2 linked regions of the Drosophila melanogaster genome follow. The gene in region 1 interacts genetically with each later gene. Each region holds a gene or a part of one and is shown on either strand. Other genes may lie near its edges. The genes, in order: Tsp and mew.

Region 1 (5,270 bases):
AATTGATATGCGAGCAAACCAGTTTTACTTCCCCGATAAGCTGGTGAATTGACCTTTAACTACTTTTAATTATATTGTATTGGCCCAAAAAAAAAGGGGCTGAGTTGGAAATTAAGTGATAAGCACTTGCTTTTAGTTTGTAGGGTGAATGGAGAGCTATGGTAACACCTTTAGGTAAATATTTGCACTTAGATATGCATATTTATCAACTGCCATTAAACACTCTCCTTTGAATCATTAAGCCGGAAGCTTGACCAACTTCACTCCAATCAAACCATGTCTTGCCAACTCCCACACTATTTCCAGGTGCAAGGCATCTGGCCTGGTCGGCATCAGTGGCCAAAGCCACGTAACCCAATTAACCGGCGAAGTCGTAAAATGACAATATTTCCTAGAGCAATTGAAGGCTGATGATAATCCCAAACCCCCCTAAGAGTGTTAGAAAGTAGCTCACTTTCGTTACACTGCACAACAAAGTCACGTTCGCTGAGGAAAAAAAAACACTCCAGAAAGCGCTGCACACGAAGAGCAGGAAGAATGCGTGTAATCGAATCTTGAAGACCGAAAAATAAACATGTTAATAATACAATTTTATGATTAATACGCACTGAACTGCAGTGCGAGGTGGTGGGGTAAAGGTGGGGCATTTCGGAGGAGATCAGACTTGATGTTGCTGTTGCGGCGTCGAAAAGTGCGTGGGACGTCTTAGCTCGTAACCACTGAAGATGCTGGGAACAACTCGAGGAGGATTCGGACGAGGAGTGTGTGGAATGGGGCGTGGGGCCAGCGAGGCTTATTTATAAATCACGCACATAATGAAATTTCAGCAAGTGGTCGCCGCTGTCCGAAAAGCGGCAAAATATGCAGCGTTGATGTGGGATAGCATCTCGGGTGTGTCCGCAGCACCGCAACTCCGTGATAAATGCACATCTGCATAATGCCCTCCTCCAACTGTCCGCTGACATGCCGGCGACATAATGACGAACAGGTCGGGCCATTCATTCAACTTCCCTTTCCCTTGGATCCCGATGCTACTGTCGTGTTACGCATCAGTCCCGTGTCAACGGCAAATAGGAGTGGAGGGAGTTCCGAAATGGGGGACACTTGTACTGCATAAGTAGCCATTAATAGGTGCCATATGCATATCATTTTGGGCTCTGGTTTTAACGAGTAGTTCGTCTGTTTTGAATGCCTGCAGAGCGTGCCGTTTATTTACGATCTCCATTTCAAAAGAGCAAAAGTCTGGCCCCATCCACCGAGTTCCTTTGGATTTGGAGGTGGTGGTCGAAAACAAGGATGGACGCATTATCGGAAAAGGGTTCGCACGAATCCGATTTAATGGCCTTAAACGGGCCTACAATGTAAGCATGTTTCGGGATTGAGTTTCAGTTTAATGGCCCAAACGATCTACAATTGGGGCAGCCCAAGTGGGCGACTCCACCATAATAATTGGTGGATAAACTAATGAACTGAAGACAATAAGTAATTACCCATAAATATAATCACAGAGAGCGACTTTTAACCAAAATATTTATTCTTACAAATTACACAGCAGTTTTAAACAATATATTACATAATTGCAACTTAAAGCGCACAAACGAAAACTGCGCTGATCGTTACAGAATATTTAAAATAACATTTTCTATATAGAAAATAAATTTTAAATTTCCTATATTTTAAAGAAGATTACCCATTATAAAATTTTATTTTTTACTAAGGAAGCGGAAGATATGAGATCTGAAAGTTGACTACCACTTTTTCCACTCACTTCCTCAATTATTCAGCAGCGATCTGGCCACACTGTCGATGTTTACGCAAATTTTGCACGTGGGCGTCGCGGCTTACTCACGCGTCAAATCAAAAGAAACACAAACGAAGACAAAATGCCGCGTTTCTCCCAAGAGCAACAACAACAGCTGAGAACAAAACAGAAACGCAGAAAGGCAACAACAAGTTGTCGCTGCTCCAAGTTGCTCCAGCCAACAGCGCTGCCGCTGCCTCAGTCGACGCTGCGCGTCGATCATTCCCTTTGCATTTTCAAATTTTCAGTTTCAGTTCGCGTTGGAACGTTGAACAAGACGGTGCGTGTCCTAGGTGCTTCGATAAGTGATCAGTGATTAGTTTTGGCGATAAATCAGTAGCATCAATCGATCGAACTATCGCGAGAATGTTTCAGTTTTCAAACGCTTCCTAAGTGTGCTTTTGAAATCAGCCCGCGCTGTACAAAGTTTTTTGCCCATATTTTTAAATCCGATCGATCCTCAAGCAGCATCCTCTGCATCCAAGGTGTCCAAGATCGCGTCGCGTTCGCCTTAATAGCATAAAAGTGTTTTAATTTTTATTGGCACGAACGGGCGAGTCAGTTGCGGAGCAGTTGTCGTTGCTGGAGGATTGTAGGCATTGGCGTCGCGTGTTCTCCACCGCGATTCCATAAAATCGACTCCACGAAATCTTCGCGTGTGTCCCCATTCCAAAATCCAGCTTTTCTACCTGGCGCGTATTTCGAAAAGGGTTTAAATGGTCTAATGCATCCGTTTCGTTATCGATTCTTTTAGTGTGAAGATACCCTTGCGACGTGTTTGATCTTTCGCTCTGCAAAAGTACAACATAATAAAAGTGTCTGTGCGGGCGTCCAGGAAAAAGCGGCGGAAAAGTGTGGCAATACTCGTAAAAATAACTCAGGTCGTTTCCATTCTAAATTGCGCGTTGACAGCCGCAAGTGGCGCAAACGAGCCGCACAAACAACAAGGAGCTGTCAGTTCCGTCCCGCCAAGTGGATCACTTGGATCACATCCACATCCGCAGTGGGGGCACCTCTAGAGCAAGAGCAGCGTCCTTGACCACGAGGTGAGTGTGAAGGTGGGCCAGACCTCCGGGCTTCTACATATGCTGCTTATTCGTGTGGCCAAAATCTGGGCTACACTCCGCTCACTCGGAAAATGAGTGCGCCAAGTGGCCAGGTGCGAAGTGCATTCCATATTCAAGTGCCTGGAAGGTACTAGAGCATATTAAGTTGTTCTTAAAGAAGTTGCGTTAATAATGATGCATCATCTCATTTTTAACATATTCTCAGGATCGTAAAGATAAACGAAAGATATACGGAAGTAATCACGACTTGGGTCTATGTTTATTAATATCATTCATTTAGAAAGTTATTAATAGCTAAATGCTAATTTCTTGTTTTCAATCTTAACAGACTGTAGACTAAAGAATCGCATCTTCTAGCTGCACACCCACAGCAGTTTAACTCCTTTTCATTCGACTTTATTGCATGATAATCACCAAGTTGTTGATAGGCCAATCTATGAATATTTTTTATGAGCGCCTCACAAGATTTCTATTCATTTCACCGCCATTTTATATCTGATGATAAATCAAGCTAATTGTTGTTGTAATTCAAATACTATCGATACATATTAATTAGCCACACCCAAGTCAACCGCAATCTGGCGGCAAAATCGGCCTGTGGCATCCTCACCATTCGAGCGACATTAATCTATGGGGGATCTGGGGAGATCTTATCTGCATTGGCGCCATAAATACCGCAGTCGAGTCATAATTTATTAATTACCGGACTTTCCACACGTATTTAAAGCAGATCAGATTGAGGTTTATGCCTTTGCGAGAACTATAATTATGTGGATCATATAAGGTCAGAGCACAGAATATTTTCCCCTCCAACAAATATGAATTGTGATTCGAAACGGCAGCCACAGATTGCTAATGATGTTGACCAAATGAAGCTGGTCACATTCCCCAACAACGGTTAAAATACTTAATTTTATTTGGCTCGATTTCCCAATCACTTTGCAGCTTCTACTGGGCTCTGCTACTCAATTCCAAGCGATTCAATTAAAAGACGCCCACTGCAAAGATCCCCATAACAATTTATAACTGCCTGTTCGAGAGACATTTCAGACTTGCGGTTATTTTATTATTTGAATATATTATTTAGCGGCAGTGGCGTTGTGACCCGAAGGGGTATTAATCTTGAAGATGTAGTAACCAATAGTTGGGAGATACTTTTAGCTAGGCCTATGACTTCGTTGTATCGATGTATCTATACAATAGATAGATACTTTCCCTTCAATAGAGCGGACAAATAAGATCGATCTGTTCAGTTTTGCAATGAGATGTGACAGAAATTCACTGAATAATTATTCAAATATGGAGCTTGGTGTTTTCTTATTCTCTGTCCAAACATTGACACCCCTTGGCGCTCCACACAGAGATGACTCTTCAGACATGGTAATATCTTGCTGGCCATATTTGGAGCTCGAGTTTGACATTATTAAAACATAAATAATATTGCCATTGTTAGTTATGGAATTTCCGCTTGGCAGCGAGTTATGAGTTCATAAACAAATGCAAATTAAGTGGAAAATTGTTGCACCAGCAAATTAGCGCATCGTCAGTGGAAAGTCATTTGGACACCAATATCCGAACCTTCTGCGGCAAATCAGGCTAACAAATTTTAATGCTTTGTATTGACTTCAGTCGGAATTTGCAATTCAAATGGAGCAAAGTCACAATAGCAGCTAAGGCTATTTGTGTTGGCCGTTTGGACTGCGGGCTTCAAAACCAATTCAAGTCGAATGGAGACGCGACTTTGCCTTAATGGTTCATCAACATAAGTTAATGGGTTTTCGGTTTTGGCCTAATGACAGATTAAACACATTCTCAAGCGATTTGACAAGATTGCCAACGAAAATTGCGCCGAAATGTATACTTTTATCCGGGCAAGAATAGTAGCATCTATCACGCATATTATTTTCCTTAGATATTTTGCGAAGATATGCAAATTATTTAAAGACGACCACTGATAGCAAGGTGCGGTCCAACAAACACCTGGTAAAAATAAACATTTAATTATATAGCCGCTGTATAAATTTAATTGATGGCAATATAATACGATTTGAGACAGTTTCTAGCTGCTGGCTATGCTTACATCAAAAAGTAGTCATCATGCATGTTTAGCTCAACGCAAGATTAAAGATTCAAGATTACAGAGATTATAATAATACCATTCTTACGGGTCTTTAAATTGTGATTTATGCGTTTTTACACCTACAATTTCAATCATTTTTATGTACTCTGCTGTTGCGATTGAGCAACTTGGCAGGTGGCAATTACCATACCAGAAATCTCAATCACCCGACTTATAATTGACAGACCTTTCAATATTTTGAAATAGGACTCCATATAACACCTGAAAAGCCACATTTTCAGCTGTCAACTACTGCATTTTTGTCGAATATAAATAGTCAAAA
Region 2 (5,147 bases), on another chromosome or scaffold:
AAAATTTTATTCAGCACATGCGCCTAGGAATCCAGGGCTGGCGAACTTGTTAGTACATCCATATGGGATTTGGTTTTTAAATATACGTTTCTTTTGCCAAGTTTAATAACTAACGACTCGTATTTGCATGATTTTTTTTTTTAATAATAATAATTAAATTTATAAAGCAAGCGGTTGATTTTTTAAATTGGTAGAGTGCTCGAGAGCTCTTTAATATAAAAGTTGTATATGTATAAATATTAATAAATTCTCGCCGGGCTTTTACTAACAAAAAATGTAATCATTTAATTTTTTAAGATTTTCCGGTAAGAGAAGTCTTAAATTGCTACCGCATTTATACCAGAAAATTCGTGGTCCACAATAATCGATTTATCGATAATATCCGACTGAACGAAAATTCAAATCTAGTGTGCGAGGAAATTTAGAGACGAAAGTTTACGTATTTAAGCGTCCAGTAGTCATTGAGTTAAGTGTAGCTACCTGATTCGGATAATTAAGTACTTTTACTTTTTTGGGAGCACAACAAAATTTTGTTCTCGTTCTTACTTTTACACAGCAAAATTTTATAATTTTTTAAAATTTTTCTGCCGGGCTGTTCGACGAAGCAAAATCAATTTACCAGTACTACGACGGTGAGTGACGATGCCAATCGCTAACTTTCTGTACACACGTATGTTACCATTCCGAGAAAGTTTCTAGATAACAAACACGGCCATTGCAGCTTACTTGTATAATAAAACACATTTCTAACACGCTTTTTACACGACAAACCGCGGTTCGATGTCAAAAGTTCGATGCAATAAGATCGACCACTGCTTGCTGGGCGCAGTTCGCGGCATTAAGCCGCCCTATCGCTCGGTGCGTAATGCCCAAGACGGCGTGATTAGCACCTTCCTGGACAAGTACAGTAGGCCCAATTATTTTGCCATCCGCTTGGTGATACCCGCCGAGTTGCCACCCATCGATCTGGCCGAAATACTTATGGACATGCTAAAGATGCAAATATTGCGCCGCAAGAATTGTATCGCGTCGTCCAATTGGGTCAGGATGAAATATATATGTCAATACGGCAGCAAAGCCGATGAGACGTTCATCATGCATGACAGTGCCATGAGAAAACTGCAGCAGGCCATTGAAGAGCTCACCAATCTGCTCGATCAACTGAAGCTGGCGTATGAGCCCGTTTCCTATGGACGGATAGCCGTGCAGGCTCAACAGTTGGATAAGCGGGCCCAGATATGGCAGAATTTGCTCAACGGCCGCAATGAGCAGTTGGAGCGCCGTTTAGCTCGGGACATTTCACTCCCATATCCTCCTGCAATAGATGCCCGCATGCGCATTTCGAAAAGTTATCAAGTTATCAACCATATGCGCACTTGGCGTTTCGGCTAAGGTCAGCAAATTAGAATTTGGTCGAATTTGTTTGTATATCAATATGGTCACTAAAGATGCTGCTGTGATATTTTACCTTGCTTTTGGATATATATACATTTCTTTGGATAGCATCTACCTGGACTGAGACGTTCTACTGTCATAGTGATTCTGATGTCGTATGACTTCTATATTAACTTTAAATTAATCGAGTGCAACGCATGTCGAGATTAATAAATAACATATCAACAACAAAACACAAACTTTGACTTACCTCCGCGCTGCCCGAATTGCAAACAAAGAGAATGATGTTATCCAGCCCTCTAGTGTAGTGGAACTGCTTGTGCGTCTGCTTGCTATATGTTTGACCACTGCTTGCACAGCGCACATGTATGTTCGAACCATGTTCGAACCATGTTCGATGGTAGCTCAGTAGCTTAGTGTAGCTCTTCTGTGCGAAGCATTTTATTTTTCGTTTGCCCGTCGAAGAAGGCGAAGCGAAGAGAAAATATCTGCCGCTTCGAACGCACGCTATCAATGTCTAATTCTTTACGTAATAATCATTTTTTTTTTTGCTGTGTGACTGAAACGAAGAAATATACGAGCAAAAGTGAAAAATACGTGGACTACCTGTTGATCCAAAGATCTCAACGGATTTAGTGTGTGTGTGTGTGTGTGCGTGCGTGTTTTTTTTCGGTTCATTGTTTTGTTTGCAATAGTGCAAAGGAAAAAGTAATCACTTTGCCGTGTTCGGTGCACGTGCACGAAATATTTATAAAATATATATTAAAAAAAAAAAACATAAAATTAACGATGTTGGAGCTACCGTTTACCACCATACGGCCCAACTGCCGGCTAAGACAGAATCTTGGTATTCTGATAATCCTGCAATGCGTTCTCACTTGCTACAATTTCAACCTAGAACAGCGATTGCCCATTGTGAAGTACGGACATCCGCATTCGCATTTCGGCTACTCGGTGGCCACCCACACTATTGGCGAGGCCAATGGGCCCAACAAGACCAACTGGTAAGTGGATAGTTAAGTGGATAGATAAGTATCTGAAAGATGCGTCCAAAGTATGCGAACTTCCAAAGTGAATCATTATCTGCAGTTCATTTAAACGCTTAGGCATATTTTTATTTTTCAACAATCAATTTTAAACTTGCATCCAAAAGATTTATTCGAAAAGTGTCTTGTTGTCTCAGCTGTGTTTTTTTTCTTTAGAAAAATGTTAGGTAAACAATAATGCTGAAGAACAGGTAGAGAAGAATCCAAATCCAAATTCGTGTCCGAATCGGAAATTCGCGCCAAGAATCTTGTTGGTGCGCAAACAGGTTTTTATATTCGCCAAATCGATTTCAGCTTAATTGACTGGCATTGATTGTTATTAATCAGCAGCACACGAACAATAACAACAACAACAACAAATAATAAAATAATAATAATAATAAGAAGAATTTGCATTGCAATCGCTGTGTTTGTTGCTGTTGTTCAGGGGGGGGGGGGGGGCTATCAAAGTTTGCTAATGCGCGAAACTTGTTTGAAATCGTGTTTTTATTGTTGAATTACCATAAATTGTTTGAATATCGAGTATTTCCAGAGATGATGCCAGGTTTTAGATGTTTTTCGAATCGAAACAAACCATAATAAACTGAATGCATATGCCAAATGCAATGACAGCAGATAAGTGTTAAATATTATATTTGTTTGTTTCTCTTTTTTTTTTTTCGAATTGCTATTTGAAGAATTTCAACAGTTTAAACGATTTGTCATCCTTACTATCTGAGAATTTGCCTGTTTGATATTTTATGGTTTTGATTGTTTATTTTTGTGCAACTGATAAGCATAGTTGGTCGAAGAACAGACGAATTGTTTTAATGTTTCCCCCGACATGGGTTAAACCCTTGAACTATTGCGACTGAAGCGGATGTGGATTTATTTGCATTTGTCATAGATTCTTTTTGGCGAGGGCTTGGTGCTCATTAAATGTCTCGTATTGGCGACTTTATAAGTTGGCCAACTCCTTTTCGCATTCTCTATATACAATACAAGCAATACATAGATAGATAGATAGATAGATACATTGGCCAAACCAAACTCGGTAGACAAAACGGAGCCAGACGGCCAGTGGCCATAAAAATGGGCAGACAACAAATCTGGAATCAATACAAGCTGCGACTTGGATGCGCCAATTTGCAGCGAAAAAAACTGAGTTGCTAACATTTTAATACATTTAATACAACTGAACTGGCAATCGAGTTATTCCCGCCACATGGTGTGGTTTCTTAACCATGTATTGTGGTAAAAAAAAAGAAATTGTGCCATTCGCGGCATGCCCCATCGCTATCACTCGGTGCGTAATGCCTACGTAGGCGTGAAAAAGTCATGTTCCCCTTCTCTCTCTCTTGCCAAGTAGTGCCCTCTCCTTCGGTCACCCGAATAAGGGAAAGGGATATTATTATTATACTTATCATATATATGTTTATATATATCATTTATCGGCCGACGAGTCTAAGTGTACCAGCCTGAGTCATTTGGGTTAAGTAACGAAATGTCACGTATTGAAAGTCCAACTGAAAATCAATAGACCTTCAAAAAAAAAAAAATAATAAAAATAAATTTGCAAATGAGATGCATGATAAACTTTGAGCTTTAACTTCAATGTAATGGTGATATTATATGGTGGTGACCCCGTTTGGCAAGAAGTGGTGACCCACGCTGTTTCTTAAATCTGCATCGCGTCTTTAAATGACGCACTTGAAATCGGAAGAAGCTGTAATCCAAACGGAAATTGCTGTTTTTTTTCGCATCGAAGGCTAGTCCGATAACTGCAGTGAATTGCACAGTTAACTTGAATTTCCAGCTCGTTTATTGCGCGCCTTTTGTTTTTCAGTTTTGTTTGCACTTTGCGATTGTCGCATATTTGTTTTATTAATGAAAAAAAAGGTACGTATGCAAATAATGTGACTCGCTTATCGCTGGCCCATCTTAATTTTTTTTTTGTACCAGCCATATATACCAGCGGTTACGTGGCGCAATTATTACCTTTGATGATATGGTACAAATTGAGATAAGCCGCTGAGGATGGTCGATTAAGCTATACAATTGTTTTCGTACCCTTGCCGTGGCATTTACAGCGCCATAAAAAATGTGTATATATGTAGGCGACTTTTTTTAATTAGCACCTTCAATCAATCGGCATTAAATAATGATTGGCTTTGTTAATGAACTACAATTTCATTGCGCTGAATACTCAATATATTGCAGATTGAAAATGGTATGAAAATGCTAGCACGATTTTAACTCGCTTGCATGTAAATAAATCTCTGAGATTCGGTGTATCTCGTAGATGTTGTATCTCATGTGGGATACTTCTTCTGCATCGCGAACAGCTCACTGGTTGTGTTTATGCCGACAACATGTGTTCCTTGTTTGCGCCAAAAAATATAGAAGAGAACAAAAACTAAGAAAGAACTTAAAAAACTTTTCGGCGAAATGAGGTCAACAGACGCCAAACAGTCGCAAGAAAGGAAAGGTTGGGGGGAATGGTGGTGGTTGGTTGGTTGGGTGGTTGGGTGCTCAATGGGGTGGGCTATCCACTGGGGGCTGGTCGACAGTTTATGGTTATTGTTGTTGCTCTTTTACTCGCTGCTGGTGCGTGTGTCTCCCGCCAAATAGTTGAATAGTTAACCCAGGCCCAGCAACACAAAAAAAAAATAAATAAAATAATAAGAAAAATATGGGAACCCAACCCAAAAGTCCATTTCTCATCTA

What was found.
Region 2: of Tsp (region 1) and mew, changing one enhances a phenotype caused by changing the other (phenotypic enhancement), as found in Drosophila melanogaster (one study listed by BioGRID).

What each region holds. Positions count from the first base shown.
Region 1 is NT_033779.5:6,705,864-6,711,133, reverse strand, and holds the start of Tsp (thrombospondin), read left to right. Parts: upstream 1-2,047; 5' UTR 2,048-2,847; intron 2,848-5,270.
Region 2 is NC_004354.4:13,253,869-13,259,015, reverse strand, and holds the start of mew (multiple edematous wings), read left to right. Parts: upstream 1-1,832; 5' UTR 1,833-2,184; coding exon 2,185-2,399; intron 2,400-5,147. Other genes in the region: CG15742 (uncharacterized protein), read left to right, coding at 781-1,392. UniProt on the Drosophila melanogaster protein: Integrin alpha-PS1/beta-PS is a receptor for laminin.